Linked DNA regions of Xenopus tropicalis. The protein of the gene in region 1 interacts with the protein of each later gene in a pairwise test. Links are inferred from orthologs where the notes say so. Each region holds a gene or a part of one and is shown in the gene's direction. Other genes may lie near its edges.

What was found.
Region 2: the proteins of spg21 (region 1) and rtn4 interact in a two-hybrid assay, tested with the Homo sapiens proteins (2 studies listed by BioGRID and IntAct). The two-hybrid records come from large-scale screens. The link is inferred for Xenopus tropicalis from reciprocal best matches to the Homo sapiens genes SPG21 and RTN4.
Region 3: the proteins of spg21 (region 1) and reep6 interact in binary tests that used the Homo sapiens proteins (3 or more experiments, as listed by UniProt). The two-hybrid records come from large-scale screens. The link is inferred for Xenopus tropicalis from reciprocal best matches to the Homo sapiens genes SPG21 and REEP6.
Region 4: the proteins of spg21 (region 1) and ctps2 interact in binary tests that used the Homo sapiens proteins (3 or more experiments, as listed by UniProt). The two-hybrid records come from large-scale screens. The link is inferred for Xenopus tropicalis from reciprocal best matches to the Homo sapiens genes SPG21 and CTPS2.
Region 5: the proteins of spg21 (region 1) and prps1 interact in binary tests that used the Homo sapiens proteins (3 or more experiments, as listed by UniProt). The two-hybrid records come from large-scale screens. The link is inferred for Xenopus tropicalis from reciprocal best matches to the Homo sapiens genes SPG21 and PRPS1.
Region 6: the proteins of spg21 (region 1) and fam114a1 interact in binary tests that used the Homo sapiens proteins (3 or more experiments, as listed by UniProt). The two-hybrid records come from large-scale screens. The link is inferred for Xenopus tropicalis from reciprocal best matches to the Homo sapiens genes SPG21 and FAM114A1.
Region 7: the proteins of spg21 (region 1) and E3 ubiquitin-protein ligase DTX3L interact in binary tests that used the Homo sapiens proteins (3 or more experiments, as listed by UniProt). The two-hybrid records come from large-scale screens. The link is inferred for Xenopus tropicalis from reciprocal best matches to the Homo sapiens genes SPG21 and DTX3L.

The regions. Positions count from the first base shown.
Region 1 is NC_030679.2:116,213,708-116,217,207, reverse strand, and holds part of spg21 (maspardin), read left to right. Parts: intron 1-727; 5' UTR 728-753; coding exon 754-816; intron 817-1,869; coding exon 1,870-2,031; intron 2,032-2,769; coding exon 2,770-2,850; intron 2,851-3,178; coding exon 3,179-3,324; intron 3,325-3,500. UniProt on the Homo sapiens protein: May play a role as a negative regulatory factor in CD4-dependent T-cell activation.
Region 2 is NC_030681.2:24,246,774-24,250,273, reverse strand, and holds part of rtn4 (reticulon-4), read left to right. Parts: coding exon 1-112; intron 113-3,500. UniProt on the Homo sapiens protein: Required to induce the formation and stabilization of endoplasmic reticulum (ER) tubules. They regulate membrane morphogenesis in the ER by promoting tubular ER production.
Region 3 is NC_030677.2:99,404,692-99,408,650, forward strand, and holds the start of reep6 (receptor expression-enhancing protein 6), read left to right. Parts: upstream 1-1,159; 5' UTR 1,160-1,193; coding exon 1,194-1,308; intron 1,309-2,316; coding exon 2,317-2,410; intron 2,411-2,802; coding exon 2,803-2,941; intron 2,942-3,703; coding exon 3,704-3,872; intron 3,873-3,959. UniProt on the Homo sapiens protein: Required for correct function and survival of retinal photoreceptors. Required for retinal development.
Region 4 is NC_030678.2:30,311,505-30,315,559, reverse strand, and holds the start of ctps2 (CTP synthase 2), read left to right. Parts: upstream 1-1,255; 5' UTR 1,256-1,395; intron 1,396-1,430; exon of another isoform or gene 1,431-1,597; intron 1,598-3,310; 5' UTR 3,311-3,409; coding exon 3,410-3,429; intron 3,430-4,055. UniProt on the Homo sapiens protein: Catalyzes the ATP-dependent amination of UTP to CTP with either L-glutamine or ammonia as the source of nitrogen. Constitutes the rate-limiting enzyme in the synthesis of cytosine nucleotides.
Region 5 is NC_030684.2:37,498,142-37,502,270, forward strand, and holds the start of prps1 (ribose-phosphate pyrophosphokinase 1), read left to right. Parts: upstream 1-1,329; 5' UTR 1,330-1,376; coding exon 1,377-1,498; intron 1,499-4,129. UniProt on the Homo sapiens protein: Catalyzes the synthesis of phosphoribosylpyrophosphate (PRPP) that is essential for nucleotide synthesis.
Region 6 is NC_030677.2:35,808,031-35,812,091, forward strand, and holds the start of fam114a1 (protein NOXP20), read left to right. Parts: upstream 1-1,261; 5' UTR 1,262-1,361; intron 1,362-4,061. UniProt on the Homo sapiens protein: May play a role in neuronal cell development.
Region 7 is NC_030685.2:90,211,651-90,215,724, reverse strand, and holds the start of E3 ubiquitin-protein ligase DTX3L, read left to right. Parts: upstream 1-1,274; 5' UTR 1,275-1,367; coding exon 1,368-1,413; intron 1,414-4,074.

The DNA.
Region 1 (3,500 bases):
CACTGCCTTCTGCCTGGGCAAGGGTTTGTGAAGCTCTGATGAACGTGCATGTTCGTCTAGCAGTATTCAAGGGGGAAACATGCTACATATCTATTCAGTCTGCATTCCGTTCATCAGAGTATCATACTGTACATACATGTAACAGAAACGTGAAGTGTAAGACTTGTAAACAGTGAGAGAGTCAGAGGCCCACTAGAGGGAATGCTTCTTATTTGTCCTTATATGCAGTATAGTCAATTTTAGGAAGAGTACATGGAACAAAGCCACACAGACAGAGGTGAAGATGCAAACTCCTTGCATTTCCAGGTTTAGAATCAAATTAGGGCCCCCAGAGTTGCAAGAAAAAGTGCAGAAGTGCTACCCTCTAAGCCACCATGCTGCCACATAGTTTGGCATTGACATTGATACTGTCTTTGTTAGTAATGTGCCAGTATAACTGGAAACCTCTGCGATGGGAATAATAATCACTCATCTATATTCATTTTAAAATAATTATTAAAACAGTGTCTTTCTGTCCAGTTTAGGGGTTTCCGATGACAGGTTAATATATTGAGCAAGCACAGAGAAGTATGTGTCATTAGGCACACCTTTGCAAGACTGATAAGAAGAGAGGCTTCTTGATTACAGTGCAGACACAGACCTCTTTGTGTGTGTGAGTGTGTGTGTGTGGTAGTGTACTTTCTGCATTTTGAGCCTGACTCATCACATGCCTGCTTCTTCCCTACAGATCTGTCTCCCTGCTCACACTGCACAATGGGAGCCATCAAAATCTCTCCGGATTATAACTGGTTTCGCAGCACAGTTCCTCTAAAAAGGGTAAGTAGGATTCAGATGACACTAGAGACCAGGCTGGATTATACCGCTTTGCTGGAATTTGTCCTTTACATTCTATGGCGCAATGTATTGACTTTCCTCAGATAAGTAGGATAAAGGATGTGTTCAGCAGTATATTGCCAGGATTGGAGTGAGGGAGCTCAGGGGCAATGCAGGAAAACTATGGAACAAAATCTTTGCAAATCATATATATATTTTTTACTTTTTCTTTAGTTAAACCACAAATCCCAGCTTTCTCCAAAAGGTAGAATCCACAGGTTAGACATCACTGAAAGATCAGTAGTTTGGGGTTTTCTACTGTGTTTTCTTTGGCACAAGCCCATTCTGAGACTGGAAGCCAAAACCACATTTCCACTCTTCCCCTGCACTAAAACTGGCCCTGTATTAGAGTCCTGCATAGGGTCGGGTACCTGTGAAATACCCACAGAGAGGTTGGGTTTTGGGCAGAAAGTCATGGGTAACTCTGCTGGGTACCTGGCTAAGCTGCGGGAGTCGTAACTCCCCATGCAATATGGCAAGTTTTTTTTTCCCCCTTACCCTTCTGCGCTGGCTCCGATATACAGTGATGTCACGTCCGGGTTTGTGGGTCCCTGGTTGAAAGGTAACTTACCTATTTTCAGGTGGTGTTAGGTAGTGGGTCTGGGCAGGGCCGGGCCAAACGCGATGTGCGCCCAAGACACATCCCCCACCCTGGATCGCAGCCCACAGTGATATCCATTCTACAAGGGGTTTTTTGGCGTTGCTGCCTGTTCTTTAGTTGTAATTACCTTAGCAATCAGGCATTAGTCAAAATATAAAAGCACGTGTTTTCCTACAGTGAGGGTTACTGTCCTCTAGTTTTGTTCTTCTATCTCTGTGTTCTATACTTAGACCACAGAGTGGAAAAAGAAAGAGTCTGGAATTACTCTTTGGCTGCCAGACACAAAGAGATATAAACAGATGGTGGGATAATTGTGGACAGTAGCTGATATGTTTTAGAATTCAGTCAAATCTGTAAATAAGTTGCTCATTTATGAGCTTTGTCTTGTTCTGTAGATCATTGTGGATGATGACGACAGCAAGGTGTGGTCTCTCTATGATGCTGGCCCCCGCAGTGTGCGCTGTCCCATTATATGTCTGCCTCCAGTTAGCGGCACTGCGGACGTCTTCTTCCATCAGATCCTGGCACTGACAGGGTGGGGCTACAGAGTTATCGCTGTGAGTACGAAATCGGAGACTTAAAATACATCTCTACAAAAACTTTTTAAATATATAGTTATGCTTCCTTGTTACTGAAGTGTCAGAAGTAGTGTGATCTGCAGTCAAATGAGTTTCTTAAAACCATGAGGTTTAACTCTCCCTTAGGGTTATAGTTAATAGGCTTAGCAATCCTGTAAGCTTTAGAGCTTGGAGACTTAACTTTCCACCACAGATGCTGTTACAAGATGAATATTCTGTTGGATGAGGATGGTTTTGGGAACTTGCCTTGTGCCATAAAACATATATCTGGTTATGGCAAATTGAAGCTGGAGTACCTGTCTGGCTGTACCACTTACCCATGGCCTACCTCCACTGCACTGGTAATATTCTAATAAATTAGACTGCAGGAGAGAAATAATTCATTTCATGAAAATGGCAACAGCCTAAAACCCAATGTAAAACATAAGCCGAGCCAGAGTCAGTGTAATATATGTTTGTTCTTTGTCCAGGTTAATTCTAGAATTCAGAATATTAGTGCTAGAAGGGATAGCAGAGGGCCAGCTCTCCAATAAGACCCATCCTATAATGTTCTATCCACAGGCTGACTTGAACTGCCACATTGTGCTTTTTATTGTTGTTTACCCTGTTACAATCACATCATACTTCTTTCTCTGTCCTTGGAAGCTGGAGAATCTCAGTATTGTTTGAATTGTATGAAAGTAATTGCAGTTATGTAACTAGTGTTGCTCTTTTCAGCTCCAGTACCCTGTTTATTGGGACCATTTAGAGTTTTGCGATGGATTCAGGAAACTACTGGATGATTTGCACTTGGATAAGGTAAGATATTCTGGATAACATTTAGTAGGCATTTATTATAACCGGTGACCTATTATACTCTCTAAACTTTTACGTTGTACTTTGTTAATGTACACATGCATTACATATTCAATTATTATATAATGTAATTAGTATTTTAACAAAGTTCTTTGTTCTGATTTTGTCTTGTAGTCAGTTTGATGCATTAATGTGAGGAAGACCCTTGCCATTAAACAGTATGATGGCATCAGGCAATTCTGTGCCTTTAAATATATATTAGAATATGTCCCACTAATGCCAGGCAAGTGCATGCTCATATCTGCTCACTTGTTTTATCTGTTGCTTGCAGGTTCATCTATTTGGAGCATCTCTTGGGGGATTCCTAGCGCAGAAGTTTGCCGAGTACACTCACAAATCTCCCCGAGTCCAGTCCCTTATACTCTGTAATTCATTCAGCGATACCTCCATTTTTAACCAGACTTGGACAGCAAATAGGTAGTGCATTTATCACTTTACTGCTTTGTGTTTCAATTCTGCATAAAACAGTAACCCTTACACAACCAAAGGCATCATCCTATCCCTGCATAAGAATATTTTTAGTGTCAGTAGCTGCCAGAAGGAAACCTATACAATTATAAAATGGAGGTTGACTTTTTTTGTATAACTTGTAG
Region 2 (3,500 bases), on another chromosome or scaffold:
TGAGCGTGCTTGCATACATTGCCTTGGCCCTGCTGTCAGTCTCCATCAGCTTTAGGATATACAGAGGGGTTCTACAGGCCATCCAGAAGTCTGATGAAGGGCACCCATTCAGGTATGAGTTCTTTCATGTATTATTGCTTAGAAATGTCAATAAAAGGCATTTGACCATTTCCCCTTCCAGCGTTTTACAATCCATATTACTGCCAAGAAGTTTACACCATGCCAGAGATGTAGAGTCTGTATTACTGGGTCCCATTGATATAAATGGAAATAGCTACGTAAAGGAAGTTCTATCTTTTTGTTACACTGTAAATGAAGAAATTAATTTAACCCCTACATAGTGAAAGCATTGCTTCTGATGATAAAACCCAAGAAGGAATGTTTTAGTGTTGCCTTTACACTGTGACATGACTCGGGTTACAGAGGAAGATCCCAATGCTGGTGAGGAGCACTGTAAGTGAATAAAGCCTATAGAAGTCTCTTCTCAAGGTCACACACACACTCCCAGTAGCTTTAATAACTTGACCCCTCTATGGTCCTCAGCTAAAATATCCAACAGGAGGTTATTTCAGTCTTCTGTTATTCCCCCACCCCCCTTCCAGAGTGCCATGTCCTGCCATGGAGTTGACTTGAAATTCTATATGTTTCTGCTCTTCTATTTTAACATCCCCAATATTGCAGATAGCATAGTTATGGGGAATTACATCATAAGCTGGAGCAAGAGATAAGCAATGATTGGATCTGCCTGATTTTGCCCAGAGTATCTGCAGACAAATCGGGCAAAGATAATGTTCGTTTGGTGACCTCGCCAAGGTATTTAGGTGTGTGGTTAGTTTTTTGGTAATCATAAAATGATAGGAATGGCACTTGCTTATATTGTTTAGGCTCATTGCCCTTTATTTCAAGCCGCAATTTGACTCCCTTCGTTAGGAAGAGAGCTTAGAAACCCCACACATGACTTGGTCTGGTGTCCAGAATCCAGGTACGGAGATTGCAAAAGGAGGTGAGGGGTCCCACAAGCCCCTCTTGGCTTGGCCTGCTGGAGGCCACTTGCTCTGGCGTAGCTCTCAGATTTCATTACATGACAGACACGTCAGCATTGGTTCTTCTGCTCACTTCTGACTTGCATATTGTACACTTGTCATCATAAATCCTGGCCAGGCTCATTTTACTAAGTGCTATGTATTTTTGGAAACACATTCTCCTAACAACGGGAACTACATAATGAGGGGTAACTTGCAAGGGATATAATGATTATTATCGTTTTAACTTTAGCGTTTTTTGGTTCTAGTTTCTGCCAAAAAAAAGTCCGTTGTACATTTGATGATAGCAGAAGCATTATAAATTGTTTAAAGCTGCCTCTTTTTTTCATTGCTACAATAGCTGCCATGTTGCCTGTGATAACTTAGCTACAGCTCTCTGTCCATTGGTTTTTGTTGTGTCAGCCCTCAGCTTATGTTACTTTATATCACAGTTGAGATTCATATTTTAGTTTCAACCCATGAAGGAATTTAGAGGCCATGTTTGTGAGGCCATGTTTGTCCCTTAAGCACCTTAGAGGCACAGAGGGCAGTTCTCAGAATTTTGCTGCCTGTGTGATTCCAGGCTTAGTGGGTGGGCACCAAAGCCCCGGTTAATTGCCCCTCCATTGACTAGAATTGTAATTGCTTGGACCCTGCTGGTTCCCTTGTGGGTTGAACTCGGAATCTTGTGGGCAACTCAAGGATGAAAAACTGTGTGTGCCATTGCCCTAAGGATTCTGCCCCCTGGGCAGTTTGCCATTAGCAGGGGGGGTCTAAGTCTAAGTTTGCAGTTGCCGCCATAGAGCTTTAACTGGGCTATTGACCTCCAGTACCAGTGCCCAGAGCACCCCATGTGCCTTATCCCTTCCACTCTCGTAGCCAAATCAGTAGTGATGAGCGATAGATTTCACTTATTGACTTACAATTCCAGTGCCTTCAAGGGTAACTAATCCTGTGCCTGTGTGTTCCTGCCATAAAGTTAAATGGCTGTTTTTATAGAAAAATTCTGGTGAGGGCTGCTTATCCATATGGCACCATAAAAATGTAAATGTTATGGCCGGTATGGCAGTGCCCTCCTGTGTGAGATAAGGCTGAGTAGAGAAACATATAGATTTGGCAAAATAATCCTAAACAAAGTTAATGTCATTCTGACTTGTGAGTAATAAATTTCCCCTTAATAGACAACCAATGAGGGCTCCTACAGATGCTCCCCGGGCCAGTGTCAGGGTGGGACCAGTTAAGGGAGGGCTAAATGATTATTTGGGAGCCCAGAGCCAGTCGCGTGAGGGCAGCCATACTGCCAAGTTATCACAGCCACATTACATTAAGTTTTCCAGTGTTTACAGGGCCCCCAGTAGAACATCTTGCCCAGTGTGTGACTTGGACACTATGGGACTTTGTGCTATTTCTGTCCCCATTGCCCAATGCTCTATTTCCTTGTAAATCATTAGTACATGTTCCTACTCCCAAGGTTCCCAGTCTGTGCCCGCACCGCCTTTATAGACACCTGCCTTGCTCTTCCCACAGAGGGGCCATTGGGCAAGTGCTACACTGGCACTGAGTGCAGATTATAACAGGCTGATTGGCGTAGGCTCAGCTCAGCAACCCTTTATTGGCATTAATTGGTTTCTAAATAGTACAGCACAAACCTATGACTTATATTTTTACCATTTTAAAAAGTGAATTAGATGCTTATTAAAGTAGATGTCCACTTTCTTATCAAGTCCCTGATCCCTAAATGAGTATTTTAACAATAGGGTCTTGTTTCGTTTACATTTTATAATAAAATGAATGATGTTATGATGATTGAATCCTGCACTGTCCCCATGGAGAAGGGGGTTGCTGGACCGCACCTCCACTAATTTCCTGCAGAGATGGGCAGCGGGTACCAGCGAGGAGCCGGAACTGTGCCAGTACTGCACATGGCTGCCTAAACTATCCGATCACATTGAAGAGATGCAGGCCATTGTGTGCATCAATAAGCCTACTCGCCCCACGGCGATTTTTAATACTGCCAGATTAACATCTTGCTGATTTTTCTGTCAAATATCTGTCCGCGGGCCCCATACACAGCCTGACAAGCTGCCGATTTAGATCAGCTTTTATTGGCCTGTGTATGGCCACCATAAGTGCTTAGTTTAGAAACTCTGATGTAGCCATAAGGCCTGTGTTTTTGTGCGTGGGGATCCTCCTGTTAGGGTGGTCTCCATTCTGTAACCCAGGGAGCAGTGACAGATTGCACTTTGTCTGATGCCATTTTCTGCAAAATCGTGGGCAAAACTCCTTTTGTGCCGTTTACATCAGACTGGGTGTCAGTCTGGCATCAGCCAGCTGCTAGTGGGCATAACGGTATTGGATTATACCGGCCATATTATGTAACTAGAACCTCTTATCCTGTAACTTATGGGGTTCTGAGTATTTGATCCGACAGACTCTTGGAACAGAGTGTCGCTGCCCGATCCCATTCCCAGTGCATGA
Region 3 (3,959 bases), on another chromosome or scaffold:
GTTCACAGTTTAAGGCTGATGCCAGACGTGGTGTTTTTACGCTGCGTATTTTCTCCGCCTAAAAACGCCGCACAAGCCACACAGCCCCTGACTATGGCATTTTTCAGCCTAGTACTGGTGACGTAGCAAATCCTGGTTCCCATGGAGCTAATAGTGCAAAATAGTAAAAAACGCTGCGTATTTCCGCTAGGTCTGGAAGCTGCCTTTGTGTATACATAGGAATAAGTTGCTGTGCAAATAACGGCGTATTTCGGCAAACGCATGAGAAGTCGTATTTATGTATTTGCGTATTTACACATAGTGTGTTTTCTATGGATGATGATATTGTGCGTTTTTCAGCCGCTGAGTGAATTAGAATTTACAGTGTAAAAACGCCACATCTGGCATCAGCCTTATACTGCTAGGCAGATTTCAGCTCAACGGTTATTAAAGGCCTATAGTGTCAGAAACTCTGTCTATTATCTTTACACTGCCTGAAGTCATTTAACCCTTGGCTTGCTGACTCCCAGTTGATCTGAATGCAGGTGGCAAAAAGCTGCCTCTGCTAACTTTAGAAGCTTTCATTTTTTAAAACAGATGCCACAAATTTGGCACTGCCTAATGCAAATATATCAAAAGCCTCTAAAAATAAAAAAAATGAATGTAAATTGCAAAAGCGCTTGGGAAACAACGCTACATCAGTTTATTTTGGGGTTTAGTCCCCCTTTAACAGTTACTTTGGAACTATTTTGGAAGGCAGCAGGAAATGATTATATATGAAGTGATGTTAAAAGCAAAAGTATTAATACCCAAATAATCATTTAAATGGTTATTACTTATACCACCACTAACTGACTATGCTTACTGGATTCACACAATCCCGGAAACACGATTTGTTTCAGAGCTTCGGGTTACCCAAATTATGGAAAAAAAAGACCAGAAAAATAATAATAGGTTTACGTTGAAGTCCTGCACATAAAGGCACGTTAACCTCACCTAAATTCACAGAGATACAGCTAAACGCTAACACTCTCACAGCACTTGTTCCCTGAACCGCCTTCACCTGCTCGAAGAGGACACGCCCTTCGATGTGATTGGGTTTTGAACATGTGACACTTCCCCCCCCCCCTGCAGTCCAGCCGGTGCGCCCGCATACGGCTCAGACCCTGTAGATTATCTGTTTGTCCCCAGTACCTGGACCTTGCTCCATAGCCATGCCTTCTATCAAGGAGCGCCTCCAGAACTTTCTGAATGGAGACAACTTCGTATCCCGGTTATTGGGGAAGGCTGAGGAGAAAACTGGGATCAAAAAGTATTATCTTGCTTCGGGTGAGCTAGCTATTATTCGGGGCTATGACAGGAGTTCTGTATCTGCTAACAGGTGGACGTGTAATTAGACGGCATGCTCAGGACAGGGTTAAAAGGGGCTTCCGTCTCAGTGTTCCTGTATTTGTATAGAGAGTTGTTTAAATGACAACTACCCTTCTAGCTTGTGATTTAAACGTGATCATTCAGTGCGACGAAGAAGGAGTAGATAGTTCCACTGTGATTGCGTGTGGCATCGTGTATATGGCTACATTCAATACAAAAAAGTAAGAGGGGTTGCTAATAAGTGGGGCACTAAGCCATTGAATAGAACGTGTGAGGCTGCTGGAGCCAGACAGGGGGATTATGTCGCTGCATTAGCTTTACGTCCCAGACCACGTTCTGCAGGAATCCATGCTGAGAAGCCGAGGTCAAGTTGCAAGATTTCAGTAGCCTCACATGTGGCCCCTATTTATGACTGCTGCACATTGTATTTTATGTTGGTGAAAAATAATACCACATTCCATCTGCTTGGGTACTAGTCGTTCTTGTATAATCGTTATGGTTAATAAGTGATCTGCTTTGGGTGCTGTTACAGCCACATCTACATATCTGGCCTGTCATGTGCCTTATCATTTTCTTATGCTGTCTGTGAATAAGAGTATCCTAATGTGAAGGTCACAGCATGCCACCCATTGGCCACCTTTTAAGACACTGATATAAAGAGCAACATTTCCCTTCCTTACTCTAGGGAGCTCACTAAATATGTAAATGTATATAGATTGTAAGCTCTATGGGGCAGGGACCTCCATCCGCTTGTGTCTTTGACTCTTAACTTATTGCAACTGTAACTGTATCTTGTATATATTTGTATTTATTGTTATACTTTGTATTTATCTATTATCTTAGTAACCCCCTGTTTGTATTAATGTATTCTACTGTACAGCGCTGCGTACATAAGTAGTGTTTTATAAATAAAGATATACATACAAATGTTCATTCTTTTTTTTATTACAATGCTTTTCTTCCTAGGTTCCATCTGCTCCCTAGGGCTGTACCTTATATTTGGCTATGGGGCTTCTCTTGTCTGCAATCTGATTGGCTTTGTGTACCCAGCCTATGTTTCGTAAGTATCCGGATTTATTCCTCAGCAGTGAATGAGATTAGAGTGTCTTCTGGATGGGGGAAGGAAAAGTAGATTAAAGTGTTTGTACCTGTTGGAGAATGTTTCTCCTGTTAAGAGGCAGATTTATCAATGTGTGAGATTAGAGTTTACCACAGAAAAAATGACATACTTTCTATTCATTCCCACGGGATTTTTAAAAGTGTATTTATCAAATGGCAAGCTTTAATTTTCTCCCGTTTATAAAAACACTTGGGAATGAATAGAAAGTGGGTGAATTTTTCTGTGGTGAGCTGTAATCTCACACCTAGGTAAATCTGCTCCTTAGTGTTTTGACACTTTGTTGCTAATACTATACTAATGTAAAATCTACAATTTCTCATTTTGTCTTGTAGGGTTAAAGCTATTGAAAGCCCAGATAAAAAAGATGACACAATATGGCTGACATACTGGGTGGTATATGGCGTGTTCAGTGTAGTGGAATTTTTCTCTGACATATTTCTCTTCTGGTTTCCATTTTACTACCTGGGCAAGGTCAGTAGTTAAGGGACAGGTGAAAGTGCTAAAAATATTCATTTTGAGTTTGTCATTTGCCAAAAGAAAGGTGAGAATGCTTTAAAAAATTTGCTTGAACTTTTCCCCTTCTCTGATTTATAATTTTTACATCTAATCCTGCAATCCTGTAATCCTGTGGGATCACAGATCTGGTATGTTTGAAAGTTTCATCTTGGTGAGTTATAACCTGGAATATATGTCCAGGTAGTTGGTCAGTAAGGGGAAAAAGCAGACACATTGCCGGACCAGTTTTTGACATGTTTGGCTAGCTATAGCTTCTCTTAAGAAAGAGAATGTTTTTAAGTATTGAACAGTCACCTCAAATCACATGCTAGTAATTCATATATTAATCTATAAAGCTTCTGCATTTATTTAGAGCCTATCTCACCTCTGTGTATTGGTGAACTGCTCTGAGAGCCTTTTTTTTTTATTGAAATTCAGTGTTTTATAATGAATACTTCATTATGCTGGCACAGTCCAGTCTTGCTTTTGAGGGGTGTAAATAATTGAAATAATAATAACCTATTATGATAATAGTTGATAATGCCAACAACAGTATGACTTTATCTTGCATTTAGATGCAAGATCTGTATTCAGAAATTTAGAATCCCAGTTAGGTTTTATTGCATCAAATGCTAATTACAAGACTGAAATTTATTTTTACATTGTTTACCATAGATATTGATCAAGTCTGCCTTACTTGCTTCCTTCTAATCAGTGTGTCAATGGGTTTCTCTACAGTGTTGCTTCTTACTTTGGTGTATGGCTCCATTTTCATGGAATGGCTCTCAGATTCTATATGACCGGTTCATCCGCCCATTTTTCCTGAAGCACCATCGAACGGTGGACAGCGTTGTTAGTGACCTTGGAGGACAGGCTCTAAACACAGCTGAATCTGTCACTAGAGGAGGTACACATTCTGGTTGCTATATTTATTTCCCTTTTGACATCCTAGGCACCTTAAATTCACATTCTCTCTTCTTGTATTAATGCTACA
Region 4 (4,055 bases), on another chromosome or scaffold:
TCCTATCCCTTATTACCCCTTCCAGAAGCTTTCCTACTACTGATGTCAGCAGCAGTGCCCCCATAAGTCAGTGTGCCCCATGGCCCCCCCTAATACATTGGTGCCCAGCAGCATTTTACTTCTGCTCTTCGGCGGCTTCTCCGGTGGCTTCAGCAGCATCTTCGTATCCCTCAGGCGCGACGCCTCTGCACTTCTGCCTACACGCGACCGCACACAGGCCCTTTTATAAGGTTGCGCCCCGTGCGTACTGACGTCACCCGTACACGTGGGGCGCAACCAATGACAGGGCCCGGATTTTATTAAAGGGGGCCCGAGCTACTAAGAAAAACTGTAGCATCGCCGGGCCCCCTTTGAAAGTAAAAATTGCGGCCCTGCCTACGGCACACCAGTCAATTAGTGTGCCGCGGAACAGCGGTTGAAAAACGCTGTGTTATAGAATGGCCTATTATTAGCAACTCTTCAGTTGGTCTTCATTTTTTATTTTTGAATTATTTGCCTTTCTCTTCTGACTCTTTCCAGCTTTCAGACGGGGGTCACTGACGCCGGCACCTAAATACCTATTGCTATTACTTTTAATTACATATCTTTCTATTTAGGCCCTCCTCTGTTCATATTCCTGTCTGTCTTTTAAATCACTCCCTGGTTACTAGGTTAAATTGGGCCCTAGCAACAAGATAGCTCTAGAAATTCCACAATGGAGAGCAGTTAAACAAAAAGTGAAATAATTAAAAAATGTTTAAAAATATAAAATGAAGACCAATTGCAATTTGTCTTTAAATATCATTCTCTACATGATACTAAAAGTTTCCAGATTGTGGAGGCACTCCCCGGGTCTCCCATTCCCCAGCAGCATTCTCCCGATTTTAACAAAACCTCCCAAAGTTCTGGAGTTGAATTCCGGCCGTACATGTGCAGTAAGCATTTGGTGACATTATTTGATCAATTTTTTAGCTTCAGCAATGATTTTACATCGCTTCGGGTCCCACACCTGACAGTACAGGAGTTTTATTGTAAATGGCAATAACAGTGAGGAATATTAGTAAATAAGTATATTTCATTGACTATAATTCTAACATTGCACTTGTAGTAACATAGTCATTAACTAGATTAGTAATAATGTGTAAGTCAGACAGTAGGCCAATGGGCACAGCCAATCACTGAACAGGGAACCCAGCTCCTCTCTCATAGGCATTTTGTCACTTTGCGCCTCTCTGTGGTTTCAATAAAGTATTTGGTTAAAAAAAAAAGTTTCCCTTTGCTTTGCTGTGGAACGGGCGCCCTCTAGTGGCAGCTGCTGAGCATTACAAGATTTTTGCTGTAAACGTGCGTCCTGTGGCCTTGACAAAACTTGACAGAACGGGGGAGGGAAGAGCCGTGACGGGTCCCGGTGCGCAGGTAACGGGGAGTCAGTGTGGAGTTGGGAAAGGGCCGGGGCGCTGCCAGTCCGGGTTGTGCTGCATTCGCTGCCTTATAACAAAGTTGGCACAGGGGGGATGAAGGGCGGGGCAGTGTGTGTCATGCACCTGGGAAAGCCCTGCCGGTACCGGGCACTAATGGGTCACATGACTCGGGACATGGGGTGCTAGCGGGGTTACCGGTAGGTATGGGGCAGGTACCTATGGTATGTGGGGGCTCTGTGTATGGGAATGGCAGGGATGTAGGGGTGCATGTGTCCTGATCCCTACAGCCCTTCATTCTATCCGGCCTGCAGCCCAGCAGCTGTTGTACTTCAACTCCCAGCATCCCCTGAGAGCCTTCAGTAGTCCCATCTCTAGCAATTGAGCAGGAGTTGTTTGCTAGTTAGTAAGTGCCTTTCCTGCAGTGAGGCGGGTATGTGTGTGTATAGGGGGTGGGAATGGCACAAGTACTGACAGTAACAGTTGTTGGTTGGATTGTACTGTGTGTATTGTAAGGTGGGGGCTTTAGGCCTGTGTCTCCCCCAGGCCCATGTTTGTTGCCATTTATTGGAATCCCCCCGGGGGCAGAGGGGAGACGCAGGGACTGAGGGACTGGGAGGAGGGAAAGGGAAAAGTTTATTTCTGAACCTGATATCCATGGCAATAAGGCAGCCCCCCATTAATCAGTTTGCTGTTTTGCCCTGCTTGTACAGTCAGGCCCCCCCCCCCCCATTTTATGAATGTTTTTCCCATAATGAAGAGCTTTCTGGATAAGGAATCCCATACCTGTGTGTGAGATAGAGGCTAGTAACCCTGCTAAGAAAGTAGCATGTTTATTTAGAGAACTTAAAGTTACAAACTATTCTGGTTTCTGCATTCTCTTTCATATAAAAACCAATTCACAAACTCTTCGCATACGATAAGCACCATGTTTATTGCACCTATTGGTTGTGGGGGAGCGGCCCAGATGACTAAGTCCCTTATGCAGTGAGGGTTAAACCCAGCAATAAACGGAAGAGCCGACCACTAGAAGTCACTTTGACATCTCTAACACTCCTGGTGCCATAGTGCCCAAAGGCAGGGCATGTTGGGTTTCTTCTACAGAAGCAAAGCAAGTACTTGTATGTTTCACTAATACAGCGCTGACTGCGTTAGTCAGCAATTTATTAGTAAGGGGTGGATGGGGAGAGCTCTTTTGCTCCCTACCTGCCCATTGAGAAGTGCAAGGTACAGAGCGTAAGGAGGCACCGCTCCAATTGGGCCTCACCTGTACGTCTGCCCTAAGGAAGCCGGTAAGGACATGGCTGCACTACTCCTCCTGTTGCTGCTTTCTTCTCTGAGCACCAGATTTTCCATCGAGCGTCCAGGGCAGAGAGCAGCAACCCCAGGGGCAAAAGTGCTCTGTAAGTGAGCCCTAAGGGGTGCGCTTGGTTTGTAAATGACTCCCTTTGCCTTTAGGAAACACTATGTATTTTCATCCCTGTAGTTCTTTTAGGAAGAACCAGTTTGATCAAAATGCCTGTGGGACCTGTATCGAGTCACTGGCCTTTTCATTACTGCTAAACTTCTAATCTGCCATAGCCCTAAAGGAATACTCTGTCCCTCGTCTCTTACTTGCGCACAAACCGTTTGGGGTATATAGGAAGCTGCCAACAGAGACTCTTGACACTACTTGTGCATTAAGGGGCCTGTAACACCAAGAAAATGGGAAAAAAAAGGCTTCATAATCTTCTTCTTATTAAAGTACCTGTACAGTATTTTAAATAATGATTTGAGAGCTCTGTATGTGAAACCTGTTCCACAGCGGCACAATGGCAATATCAGCCAATTAAAGAATTTGGATCCTGAGTGTCACAGTGGCACTTAGTTGGTGACTAATGTAATAGGGCCCCCGTGTCCATATTTCATCCCAGGCCCCTGATTTTGTTGAGTTGGCCCCCGCAGCAGCGACGTGAGCAGCCAGCGTGGCACTGAGTGTAAGGGAGAGAGGTGGCAGTGAGCGGCAGGAGGAGATGGTAGTGAGTATAAGCAGGTGAGTAGAGATGCCCTCGCACACATTTTCTCCAGCTGGATATATTGCATTTCAAGGGTTAAAATGCTGGTTAGTGCATTACATGCAGGAAAGGATTTGGGCCCTGCTGCCCCCTATTGTTGGAATATTTCCTGTATGTTTTGTACAGGCCTGCATTAAATACTCCTGAATCCACTTTTGTTTTTATTCTCCTGTATATATTTTCAGCTGGGTCGAAAGTACATTTTACCTGGGTTCCCAGCATCACAGGGACCCTTTGAGGGGTGGGGCTTAAATAAAGGTACAAAAAAGTCACGATTTTACTATACATCTCACTTGCTTCCCAGTTTCTTAATATCCTATGTGTGCGGTTCCTAAGCACTTCCTCACCATTCCCCCATGTGTAAATTTCCTGCCTCTCCAACTCTTTCCCTCTGCCTCTCCCCTCTATTACACATCACTAACCTCTTTAGTATCTTTACAAATGGTAAATGGTGATGTCACCAGTTATAATCAGAGTTTAGTGATGTCACTTGTTTCTCAAGACTGATCTTTGTGTATCACAAGTAAAAAAACACCTTTCTATAATAATTATTATGTAGTTATAAGTTACCAAATGGTAAATATTATATTATATATATATATTG
Region 5 (4,129 bases), on another chromosome or scaffold:
ATTTACTGCATTGCACAATATGCTGATTTATAAATACATTATTAACAGTAATACAATCTTTGTGATCTAGGGACTGACCCCATTGCCCATACTGAAGGTACTTTCCCCCTTCAAAGATAACTGGAGAACGGAAATAAATGTGGATTATTCCTTCTCTCTGATCCCCTATCACTCATGTTACAGAATAACTGGACGGTGGCCTTTCTACAACATGAAAACATGTTACTGTGAATAATTCACACAGCTAATACAGGATGAGTTGAAGTGCATGTTACACCAAAAACTAAAAATACTTTTATTTTTATGAAATAATTCGGTCAGCACCTGACAAGTAACTACTGGCAGTAAAAATCCTTGTAAAAGGAAGGTTCCCTGGGGTGTGTATACAACCACTTACAACATCAAGACAGTCGCTACAGAAAATATTCATTATGTGTTAATGTGAGGCCTTGTTATGGGTTACTTGGCTTTCCAAGAGCTCGGCCACAGAAAGGAAATTCTAGCTTTTATAACATCCCAACTATGCCTCTTGCAGTAAGCCAAGATGAAAACCCAATTGCTCTAATAATAATTCTATTACAGACACCTCTTTTGGGTCTGTTTATGACAATTTCCAGGAATTTGAAGACGTTCTAAAGGATACTGCCATGATAAATGTATTTATTTTGTGAAGCAGAGCAATAGAAATATGTATTGGTTCCCTGCCTGCTGCACCCCCTTTCCCAACCAGTTGCACCCACACCTACACTTGGCTTCCCAGTATCTTTATAGTTGCGCCCATGTGGGGCCGGGTCCCTAAGCCCATTACAGCTATGGCAGGGCGCTTACATATATGATACAGCAATTGAGCATTTGGTCGCTAAAAATAAAAAACGTCGCCAATATATTAGTGTTTAGCCGCCTTAGACTTAATCTTTTTTGGATTGTGGAGGACGAGCGCTGCTATCGGCGAGCAGTCTCTCAGCCTCTGTGCAATATATTCCCCTCCCTAAACTAAAGACGCGGCATTACAGGAGCCATTACGTTGCGCATCTCCCTGGAGAGCTGATTATCGTGCTCACTAACAGGAAGCCAATGATAATGACACCCATGCTATCGGTTCAACCAAACCGAGCAAGCATCCCTCACGCCTATACCCCCAGCCTCTGCTACTATGAGAACCGCGCCAATCCCAAAACCAAGCGCTCTCCGTCCCTTAGTAATGGTGACGCAACCTGAGGGGCGTGGTCAAGATGCTCCCCTATTGGACCAAGAGCCATCACGGGCAGGAAGGAGGGGACTCGCTCTCCGTTAACTAACAAAACACCCTGCGCTCTGTCCCCTGGCCCCTCAGCCGCCTGACTGACTGACGCGTCTCCCAACACCACAGGGAAACGATGCCCAACATCAAGATTTTCAGCGGCAGCTCCCATCAAGATTTGTCTCAAAAGATCGCAGACCGGCTCGGGCTTGAGTTGGGCCGCGTTGTCACTAAGAAGTTCAGCAACCAGGAGACGTGGTAAGGGCCACTGCCGGAAGGAACAGGGGCAAATAGAAGTAAATATTGCAAGTCCCCCCCCTTATTCTGCCGGCATTGCTACATTCTATCCGTGACTTATCATCGGGCGCCAGAAGTATAGTCGAACGGGGTTCTGGGATTTGTAGTTTCCAAGCAGTTGCAGTTTGTGGCAGTAGGGGAGGCTTGGGACTACACTTCCCGACATGCCCCACCCGGCTCTTCTGTGAAGCGGAGGGCAATATAACCACGTGGGTTAGGTTATGGACAGCCATGTGGGAAGCGACATTAAGTGATAAGCGGCCAATTACAAAATGGGGTAATGGTGATACTTGTTGCGCAGTTAGTGTACAGACTATTCATATTCAAGGACAGGGGGCTGTGAAGCGTATTTTATTTATATTAAATAATTCAAACCCAACTCTGGGATGTGCAGTATGGCTGATTTCGTTCTGTGGCGACTCTGGCTTGTTTGCTTATTTGGAAGCTCCAGAGTTAGGTATATGTTAAACCTGGGTAGGAGATGTGCAAATACCCCCACCCCCTTGTGTGAGGGCAGGAGGCCTTTAAAGGGAAACTGAATGTTTAAAAATAACTTCTGTGTTTAAAGAGGCACATACACAAACATTGGAAGCCGCATTGATCTGCCTGGGAAGTTATTAATACACATGGGTGACACATGGGTTACTGATGGGCATATTCCAGCCTGGGGCTGAAATACATGCGCTGCCTGAGCGTTTCCTCCTTAAGCGCCTGATGCTTATTCTTACAAAACACAGACTTTGGGTGTTCGTATATTTGGGGTACAATCAGTAAAAATTAGTCTTTTCTTAGCAAAAGCTCTAATCGTACAAGAGCGTACGGTGTGGGCAAGTGGGGTGATTTGCAGAGGTATATTTCTTTAGGCACTGTGTTATCAAGCAGTAATTGCCTGCACCAGGAATTGTTGGGGCACTGTAAATACAAAGTTAATAAAGGGGTAATTTGAAGGGCTTTGTAATCTGCCCCCCAGAACTACAAAATGCTCCAAAACACCTTGTGTGCAATTAGCACTTTGTGTCCGGTCTGAGATTCACAATAGGCCCAGTTATTTCAATTATACAGAGGCCCAAACAGCCACCTACAGGCCCAATAGTCACTGTGTATGACATATTACAGCAACCCCTCTGGCATTTGCCAGAATCTAGAGATTGCCAGTCTGGGCCTTCTGCTGTTTATTTAGACTACAGTGTAGCCATGGGGGCAGCTACTCAAGGTGAAGTTGTGCTATAAGGCCTACATTTAGGGCTCTGGCACACGGGGAGATTAGTCGCCGGAAAAGGCTCACAAGGCAACTTCGGCGATTTGCCAAGATTGCGCCGCCGTGTGTGCCATCCCACTGGCGACTTACACGTTCGCCGGTGGGATGGCAGGTGATGGCAACTCGGGGAGATTAGTCGCCCGCGAACAGGGAGATTTGTCGCGGGCAACTAATCTCCCCATGTGCCAGAGCCCTTACATAGGTAATAAGTTGTAATACAGTAGTATTTACACAGGAAGATAAATAGGTCAAACACCATTGTTTTGATGGGACTACATCAGTGATCCCCAACCAGGGGCTCAGGGGCAACATGTTGCTCACCAACCCCTTGGATGTTGCTCTCAGTGCCCCAAACTAGGTAGTTATTTTTGAATTCCTGACTTGGAGGCAAGTTTTGGTTGAATAAAAACAAGATTTACTACCAAATAAATCCCCCTGTAAGCTGATAGTGTCTATAGAGGCCCATAATAGCCAATCTTAGCCCTTATTTGGCACCTCCATGAACTTTTATGATGCTTGTGTTGCTCCCCAAGTCTTTTTACATTTGACTGTATCTCACAATAAGGAAGGTTGGGGATCTCTGCCCTTGGATGTTGCTCCCAGTGGCCTCAAGGCAGGTGCTTATTTTTGAATTTCTTGTAAGGAGGCAAGTTTTGGTTGCATAAAGGCCAGGTGTACCGACAAGCAGAGCCTTCTGTAGGCTGCCTGTTCACATAGGGGCTATTAAGTAGCCAATTATAGCTCTTATTGGCACCCCCTGGAACCTTTTTGTTTTGCTTGTGTTGCTCCCCTTTCTTTAAATGTGGCTCATGGGTATAAAAGGTTGATAATCCCTGGACTACAGGATTAAAATCCTTAATCTTTAACGTTTTGTAAATTCTGGATAAAGAATGATAGTAAACCTTTTAAAGAGTACATATTGTATTTATAAAAGTGCCAGTGCATAATACGCCTCTAAATATGGAAGAAATGTTTTGTTTGTTTTTTGAACAAAGTATTTGTTAGGCAAGCGGATAGTCCCAGAGAAATTTTCTTGCATTCATTTATAAAAGTTTATCATTTTTTTGTATTTTTTATATAAAATAAATTAGGTTTTGGTCATTACAGATATGTACTTCCTAATAGCATAGCATAGCAAGAAGCATTCAGAACATACATAAATGATACACAGCAAATTTGCACATCCATTTCTCTTATTTAGATAAGCGTACCAATTAAACACTTTTGGTCTTGTACGTAGGCCTATTATATTTTGCAGGTTCTATACAGTGTTTGTTAATACTTGGGAGAGAAGGGGTCTAACTGCCAAGAGCAAGGCAGCGGCTCCCACACCG
Region 6 (4,061 bases), on another chromosome or scaffold:
AAACGACTTTGAGAAAAACACAGCAAGATTACTGCAAGATAAAAATTAGGCACCCCCATTGATTATAATCGCTTACCTTAGACCAGGGGTCCCCAAACTTTTTAATCTGTGAGCCATATTCAAATGTAAAATAAATTTGGAGAGCAACACAAACATGCATTCTTGGGGTGCCTTACAGTTCATCATTCAGTTGATAACAGTAAATGTCATAATTAAAATATCGTAAGTAAGTTATTACAATACAGTCCAGTTCTCACAGGTCACACAAAACAGTCTTTCTTCATTGAAAGCTGTTAAAATTAGCAGTGTAAAAGTTTGTGGTTGGTTCTAATCTAAGAGAATGCAATTAGGAAGAAGAAAAACATTTCCAGTTATGTCTTGTCTGCCACCTAACTGGCCTCAAAGGTTCAGTTCTGCTTTTCATTTGCAGCTACATTTCTGAGTTTACCAGTAATCTTTTCATCTGAGCATTCATTTTTCTTTTCAGATTTTTCTGAGTTTGTATTTTCAACAAGGAATGCAAAGCTAGGGTGGCAGAAGGGCTCATATACTATATGTTGACACTTCTTTCTGGCTGTTTAAAGTAGATAGTTAATTTAGCAATATAGAGTCAAATAAATATAAGTTGTAGTAAAAATGCATTCTGCCTAATCTTTTAATTAAAAAAAGTTTTCAAATTCAAAAAGGCAAATTGTATTTTACACACCCCCTGGAATGAGTATCATTAAAGAGTGATAATGAGAACCTCCATCTTCTAATTTACGATAGATGTACTTGTAGACAGGGAGTTCAGAGAGTTAAATGACAGTGAGAATCTCATTATATACCTTCTTTTTCTCTTGTTGTTGTAAAAGACTGGGATCAAGTATAAAATCAGTTTTCTATAATGTTTAGAAATAAGTTGAAGGACATTCTAGATAATAGGATGTATGAAAAAATTATTTAATGTTTAGGTAAGGACTTTGAAAAATGTGTAACACTAACTTTCTGTTTATTTTTTATTAAAACATATACTTTTTGATTGTCTTCAAAAAAGAGATTTTGTACTCACCGGAAAATCCTTTTCTCATAGGCCCGAACTGTTAGAAGTTAGGGGTTTTGTCTTGAATCACCTCTGGAGGCAGGACAGAGAATTGAAACTTGGTACTCCTGGTCCCTCCCACTGTATATAAGGCTCGTCTCCACCCTCATTCCTCAGTTCTGTTGGTAAGCTCGGTCGGTGGAGACAGTACAGATAGAAGGAAGGCTAAGAGACATAAGGTAGAAAGATAGCGAGAAAGAGGTCCCGGTGCCCATACTAAATCAGCCTGGGTGGGACTTACTGCACTGACAGTTCGGGCCTACTAAAAAAGGATTTTCCGGTGAGTACAAAATCTGCTTTTCTCTAGCAGCCCTCCTGTCAGTGCAGACATTAGGGGATGTCCCAAAGCTGTCCCTCTAGTTGGGTGGGTAAAACTTCAGTTTTATTGGCACTATGCCAAAACAGCCTGTAGGACTTTCCGACCAAACGTGGCCGGCTGTGAGGCATAAACATTTAACTTGTAGAACTTGATGAAGGTGTTTGGTGAAACCCAAGTGGCTGCTCGGCAGATCTGGTCTGCGGTTGCCATGTTCTGCAGTGCCAGTGTAGAGTGGGCTTTCACTGAGTATGGTCTGGGCATGTTTCTGCGATCATAAGCCATATTAATAGTCTCAACTAGCCAACGAGCTATAGTTCTTTTAGATACGGCTTTTCCTCTGTATGCCGTTGCATATGATATCAGGAGACTATCAGACTGTCTGTAGTCAGCCGATCTCTTTAGGTAAATGCGGATAGCCTGGACAACATCCAGCTTATGGAGTAGTTTTTCCTTCTCGTTGGATGGGCTCGGGCAGAAGGAAGGCAGTATGATGTCTTGGTTCATGTGGCGTTCGGTCACCACCTTTGGTAAAAATATTGGTGTGGTTCTAAGGACCGCCTTGTCGTGGTTCCCTGCAGGACAGTGCCGCCATCTCGGATACCCGTTTTGCTGATGTGATCGTTATTAAGAAAGTGACTTTAAATGAGAGCCACTTAAGCTCACACATCGACAGGGGTTCAAAGGGTGATTGTTGGAGTGCGGCTAGGACTAATGGTAAGCTCCATGTTGCAAGGGGTTCCCTTAGCGGGGGGTCGTACTCTGGTTACCCCTCTGATGAACTGTTGGACCATAGGATCTTCGGCCCACTTGAAGTGTGTCAGCGCTGTAATCGCCTAAGCTTGTGTTTTTAGAGTGCGTAAGCCCAATCCCTTTTGGAAGCCGTCCGTTAGAAATTCCACCACCTCAACTGTGGAGATATCTCTCCAAGGCGTGGCCCTTTTCCTGCACCAGGTTAAGAAAGTCCTCCAGACCCTATGGTATACCCTAGTGGTAGATTGCTTGCGGGCTTGTAAGAAGATGTCTATGGCGATCTGTGAAAATCCCTGTTGACGCCACCAATCGGTTTCAAGAGCCACGCAGTTAGGCGAAGCATCCTCAGGTTGGGATGTTTTATTGGCCCTTGAGTTTACAGATCGGGTAGTAGAGGTAATCTCCAAGGTGTGGCAATCGATAATTTGACAACAACTGTATACCATACTCTGTTCGGCCAGTCTGGGGCTATCAGTATTGTGACTGTGTTGGATTGCTTCAGTCTCCTGATTACTCTGGGTAAGATGGCTAGTGGTGGAAACGCGTATACCATGCTGAAGTTCCATGGTACCACCAGCACATCCACCAGCGCTGCTCCTGGGTCCCTTGTTCTGGCGCAATAGAGTGGAAGCTTTGCATTGTGTTTTGATGCCAACATATCTATCTCAGGGGTCCCCCACCTGTGAGTTAGTTATTGGAATACATCCTTGTTGAGGGACCATTCTCCCTGGTCGATGGTTGTTCTGCTCAGGTAGTCCGCTTCCCAATTCAGTACCCCTGGTATGTATACTGCTGAGATGTTCGGTACCATCTGTTCCGCCCAGGTCACTATTCTGGAGGCCTCCTGCATGGCTAGTTTGCTGTGAGTGCCCCCTTGTTTGTTGATATATGCTACTGCAGTTGCATTGTCAGGCTGTACTCGGATTGACCGAGATTGTAGAATTGTTGACCAGTTCTCCAGTTCTAGGGCAATTGCTCGAAGCTCTAACACGTTGATGGGTAAGTGACTCTCCTCCTTGGACCATGTCCCCTGGAGTCTAAGGTTTTTGTGTACTGCCCCCCAGCCCCTGAGGCTGGCGTTTGTGGTCACTACCTCTCAGGTGGTGTTTGCCCAGCTCCTTCCCTGTCGAAGATTGTCATCTCTCACCCACCAGAGAAGGCTGTCCTTGGTCGTCTGCGAGATAGGTATCTCCTGCTGTAGATCTTGGTGGTTCCTGTTCCAATGCTGCAGGAAATTTCACTGTAGAGGTCTGAGGTGAAATCTGGTGAAGGGTATGGCCTCCAGGGTTGATACCATGAGGCCCAGAAGGCGTAGGCAGTCCTCTGCCAAGTTCCTTTTCCTGACCCAGAAGGCCTGAGTTGTCGTGACTAATGTGTTCGATCTTGTCTTGGGGTAGGATTATTACCCTCTGTGCCCTGGAGTCGAAAATGAGGCCCAGGAATAGGATCGTCTGACTTGGCGTGAGGGAAGTTTTTCGGTGATTGATCAGCCAGCCGTGTTGTGTTAGAACCTGGAGACACAAGTTTGTGTCCTCAGTCGCTTGTTGATAAGGAAGGTGTTCCTTCCTTCTTTGCTCTCCCGTGTGCTGGGGGGGGAGGGGTGACACTTCAGGGACAGCTCTGCGTGTCCAGTGTCCCCAACACTGCACAGTAATCCGCACTTTGTGGGCAGCTCTGCGTACCCTAGTGCTTTAGAGATCCTCCTGTGGATCTTCTGAGTCCCCCTTGTAGTAAGCTGGTCTAGTCCTGGAATTGAATCCAGTAAGACAGCCGTGCCTTGTGATATCCTCTTTTTGATCGACAATAATAAAAAATAAAGAAAAAAGGAAGGAAAAGAAAAGAAAATAAAAATATGTGAATATAGAATCAGTCCTTCACCTCCGAGGCAGGACAAAGAACTGAGGAATGAGG
Region 7 (4,074 bases), on another chromosome or scaffold:
GCACAGAGGGAAACACTCCAGTAACTGGGGGGCACAGAGGGAAACACCCCAGGTAACTGGGGGGGCACAGGAGGGAAACCTCCAGTAACTGGGGGGGGCACAGGGGGAAACACCCAGTAACTGGGAGGGCAGAGAGGGAACACTCCATGTAACTGGGGCACGAGAGGGAAACAACCCCAGTTAACATGGGGGGCAGACGAGGGAAACCACTTCCAGTAACTGGGGGGCAGAGAGGGAAACACCCCCAGTAAACTGAGGGGTGCGCAGGGAAACACCCCCAGTATCTGGGGGCGCAGGGGGAAACACCCCAGTAACTGGGGGGCACAGAGCGGAAACACCCAGTTAACTGGGGGCACAGGGGGAAACAACCCGTAACGGGGGGCACAGGGGGAAACACCCCAGTAATTTGGGGGGGGCACATGGGCTGGGGGGCGTGATTTATACAATAATTAAGGGGGGGGGCCAAGGGTTTCCCATATACCTTATAATTTTAGAATGTTATTCACTGTGCATATGGGAGGTATTTTATGGGGTATTCTAGGGGGGTATTTATGGGCTACTCTCAGAGGGCTTTGGCCAGTGTCGGCTGGTTTGGGTCAAATTAAATTGCCCTGGGGATCAGTGTTTCTGTACCTGGGGCAGTAAGTTGGGGTGCTGATTATTATGGGGGGGGGGGGGATACGGGACAGTAGTAGGAGAGTGCCTGTCAACAGTAAGCTGGGGGGGGGGGGAGACCAGTTTATATTTTGGGGGATCAGAGTTTGCGGCCCCCCGCCTCCCTACCGCCGGGTGTGTATTGGGGGAGGGGGGGTAATAGCCCCAGAAGGGGGGGCAGATGCTGAGCTGGGTTCCATCAGACCCAGCTGGGAGCTACCAGCGTGACGCTCTGTACCCCGGGGCCCTCGTACTGAGTGGGTGCAACTTACCCTGGGGGGCATATTCTCGAGTGAGGGGCGCGGCGGCTCCGGGGAAACTCTGCCTTCACTTTCGGTTTCCGCCTCACAGGGAGGGGCGGGGAGGGGCGGGGAGGGGCGGGCGGGGCGGGCCGGGCGGGGAGGGGAGGGGGCCGGGAGAAGAAGCGAAGTGAAAGGATCGGGGCCCCGGGAAGGACAGGCACGGGAAGCGGGGCTCAGGAACGGACCGGAGTGGGAACCGCAGTGTTGGGGGGCCTCCACTGTTCACTATCGGGGGTTTGTGGTGCGAGGACGAAGTCCAATGGCGGAGGCAGCGGAGAGTTCTGGGGGCCGGGGGTTCCCCTCCTTGGTCTCTCTCCCCCCCCTCCCCTCCCCCCCGGACCCTGCCAAGGTGCGGAGGGGCTTAGAAGAAATACTTCCAGTCCAAGGGGGATCCAGGGGGGGGCGAGTGTAATGTCCGGGACCGGGATTTACCGGGTGTCCTTCCGCAACATGTGGGGTGAGTATCCTGCCCCTACCCCCAAGCAGTGCCCCCAGCCAGTGCCCCCCAGCCAGTACCACGGCCAGTGCCCCCAGCCAAGTGCCCCCAGCCAGTGCCCCCAGCCAGGCCCCCAGCCAGTACCCCCAGGCCAGTGCCCCACAGCCAGTGCCGCCCAAGCCAGTACCCCCAGCCAGTGCCCCCAGCCAAGTGCCCCCCAGCCAGTACCCACGGCCAGTTGCCCCCAGCCAGTTCCCCCAGGCCAGTGCCCCCAGCCAGTGCCCCCCCCAAGCCAGTACCCACGGCCAGTGCCCCAGCCAGTGCCCCCCAGCCATACCCACGGCCAGTACCCCCAGCCAGTGCCCCCCAGCCAGTAACCCACGGCCAGTACCCCCAGCCAGTTGCCCCCCAGCCAGTACCCACGGCCAGTACCCCCAGCCAGTGCCCCCCAGCCAAGTACCCACGGCCAGTACCCCCAGCCAGTGCCCCCCAGCCAGTACCCACGGCAGTACCCCCAGCCAGTGCCCCCGGCCAGTACCCACGGCCCAGTACCCCCGGCCAGTGCCCCGGCCAGTACCCACGGCCAGTACCCACCAGGCCAGTGCCCCCAGCCAAGTGCCCCCAGCCAGTACCCACGGCCATACGCCCCAGGCCAGTGGCCCCCCAGCCAGTTACCCACGGCCAGTACCCCAGCCAGTGCCCCAAGCCAGTACCCACGGCCAGTACCCCAGCCAGTGCCCCCAGCCAGTGCCCCCAGCCAAGTACCACGGGCCAGTACCCCCAGCCAGTGCCCCCCCAGCCAGTACCCACGGCCAGTACCCCAGCCAGTGCCCCCAGCCGTGCCCCCAGCCAGTGCCCCCCCAGCCAGACCCCCGGGCCAGTACCCCCAGCCAGTACCCCCAGCCAGTGCCCCCAAGCCAAGTACCCCCAAGCCACGTACCCCCAGCCAGTGCCCCCAGCCAAGTACCCCAGCCAGTACCCCCAGCCAGTGCCCCCCAAAGCCAGATGCCCCCAGCCAGGCCCCCAGCAGTCCCCCAGCCATAGTGCCCCCCAGCCAGTACCCCCAGGCCGTGCCCCCCAGCCAGTACCCCCAAGCCAGGCCCCCAGCCAGTACCCCCAGCAGTGCCCCCCAGCCAGCTACCCCCAGCCAGTACCCCCAAGCCAGTGCCCCCAGCCAGTACCCCCAGGCCAGTGCCCCCAGCCAGTGCCCCCCAGCCAGTGCCCCCAGCCAGTACCCCCAGCCAGGCCCCCACAGCCAGTTGCCCCCCAGCCAGTACCCCCCAGCCAGTGCCCCCCAAGCAGTGCCCCCCAGCCAGTACCCCCAGCCAGTGCCCCCAGCCATTTGCCCACGGGCCAGTGCCCCCGCCCGTACCCCCGGACCACTTGCCCCCGGCAGTACCCCCGGCCAGTGCCCCCTAGCCAGTACCCACGGCCAGTGCCCCCAGCCAAGTACCCACGGCCAGTGCCCCCGCCAGTACCCACGGCCAGTGCCCCCAGCCAGTACCCACGGCCAGTGCCCCCAGCCAGAACCCACAGTCAGTACCCCCAGCTCAGCACCAATGGGAACCTTTGTTACAATGTCCTGCTGAGCAGCTGACACAACTATGGGACCTGTTATCCAGAATGCTCAGGGCCAGTTAAGGGATTCTTCTGTAATTTGGATTCCCCATACCTTAGTTCTACTAAAAATTATTTTATCATTAAATAAACCCAATAGGGCTGTTCTGCCCCAATAAGGGGGTAATTATATCTTATTGGGATCAAGTACAGGTACTGTTTTATTATTACAGAGAAAAGGGAATCATTTAACATTAAATAAACCCAATAGGACTGTTCTGCCCAATAAGGGGTAAATTATATCTTAGTTTGGATCAAGTACAGGTACTGTTTTATTATTACAGAGAAAAGGGAATTCATTTAACCATGTAAATAAACCCAATAGGGCTGTTCTGCCCCAATAAGGAGGTAATTATATCTTAGTTGGACAAGTACAGGTACTGTTTTAATTATACAGAGAAAAGGGAATCATTAAACATGAAATAAACCCAATAGGGCTGTTCTGCCCCAATAAAGGGGTAATTATATCTTAGTTGGGATCAAGTACAGGTAACTGTTTTATTATACAGAGAAAAGGGAATCATTTAACCATGAAATAAACCCAATAGGGCTGTTCTGCCCCAATAAGGGTAATTATATCTAGTTGGGATCAAGTACAGTTACTGTTTTATTATTACAGAAGAAAGGGAATCATTTAACCATTAAATAAACCCAATAGGGCTGTTCTGCCCCAATAAGGGGTAATTATATCTTAGTTGGGATCAAGTACAGGTACTGTTTTATTATTACAGAGAAAAGGGAATCATTTAACCATTGAAATAAACCCAATAGGGCTGTTCTGCCCAATAAGGGGTAATTATATCTTAGTTGGGATCAAGTACAGGTACTGTTTATTTTTACAGAGAAAAGGGAATCATTTAACCATTAAATAAACCCAATTAGGGCTGTTCTGCCCCAATAAGGGTAATTATATCTTAGTTGGGAATTCAAGTACAGTACTGTTTTTTATTATTACAGAGAAAAGGGAATCATTTTAACCATTAAATAAACCCAATAGGGCTGTTCTGCCCCCAATAAGGGGTAATTATATCTTAGTTGGGATCAAGTACAGGTACTGTTTTATTA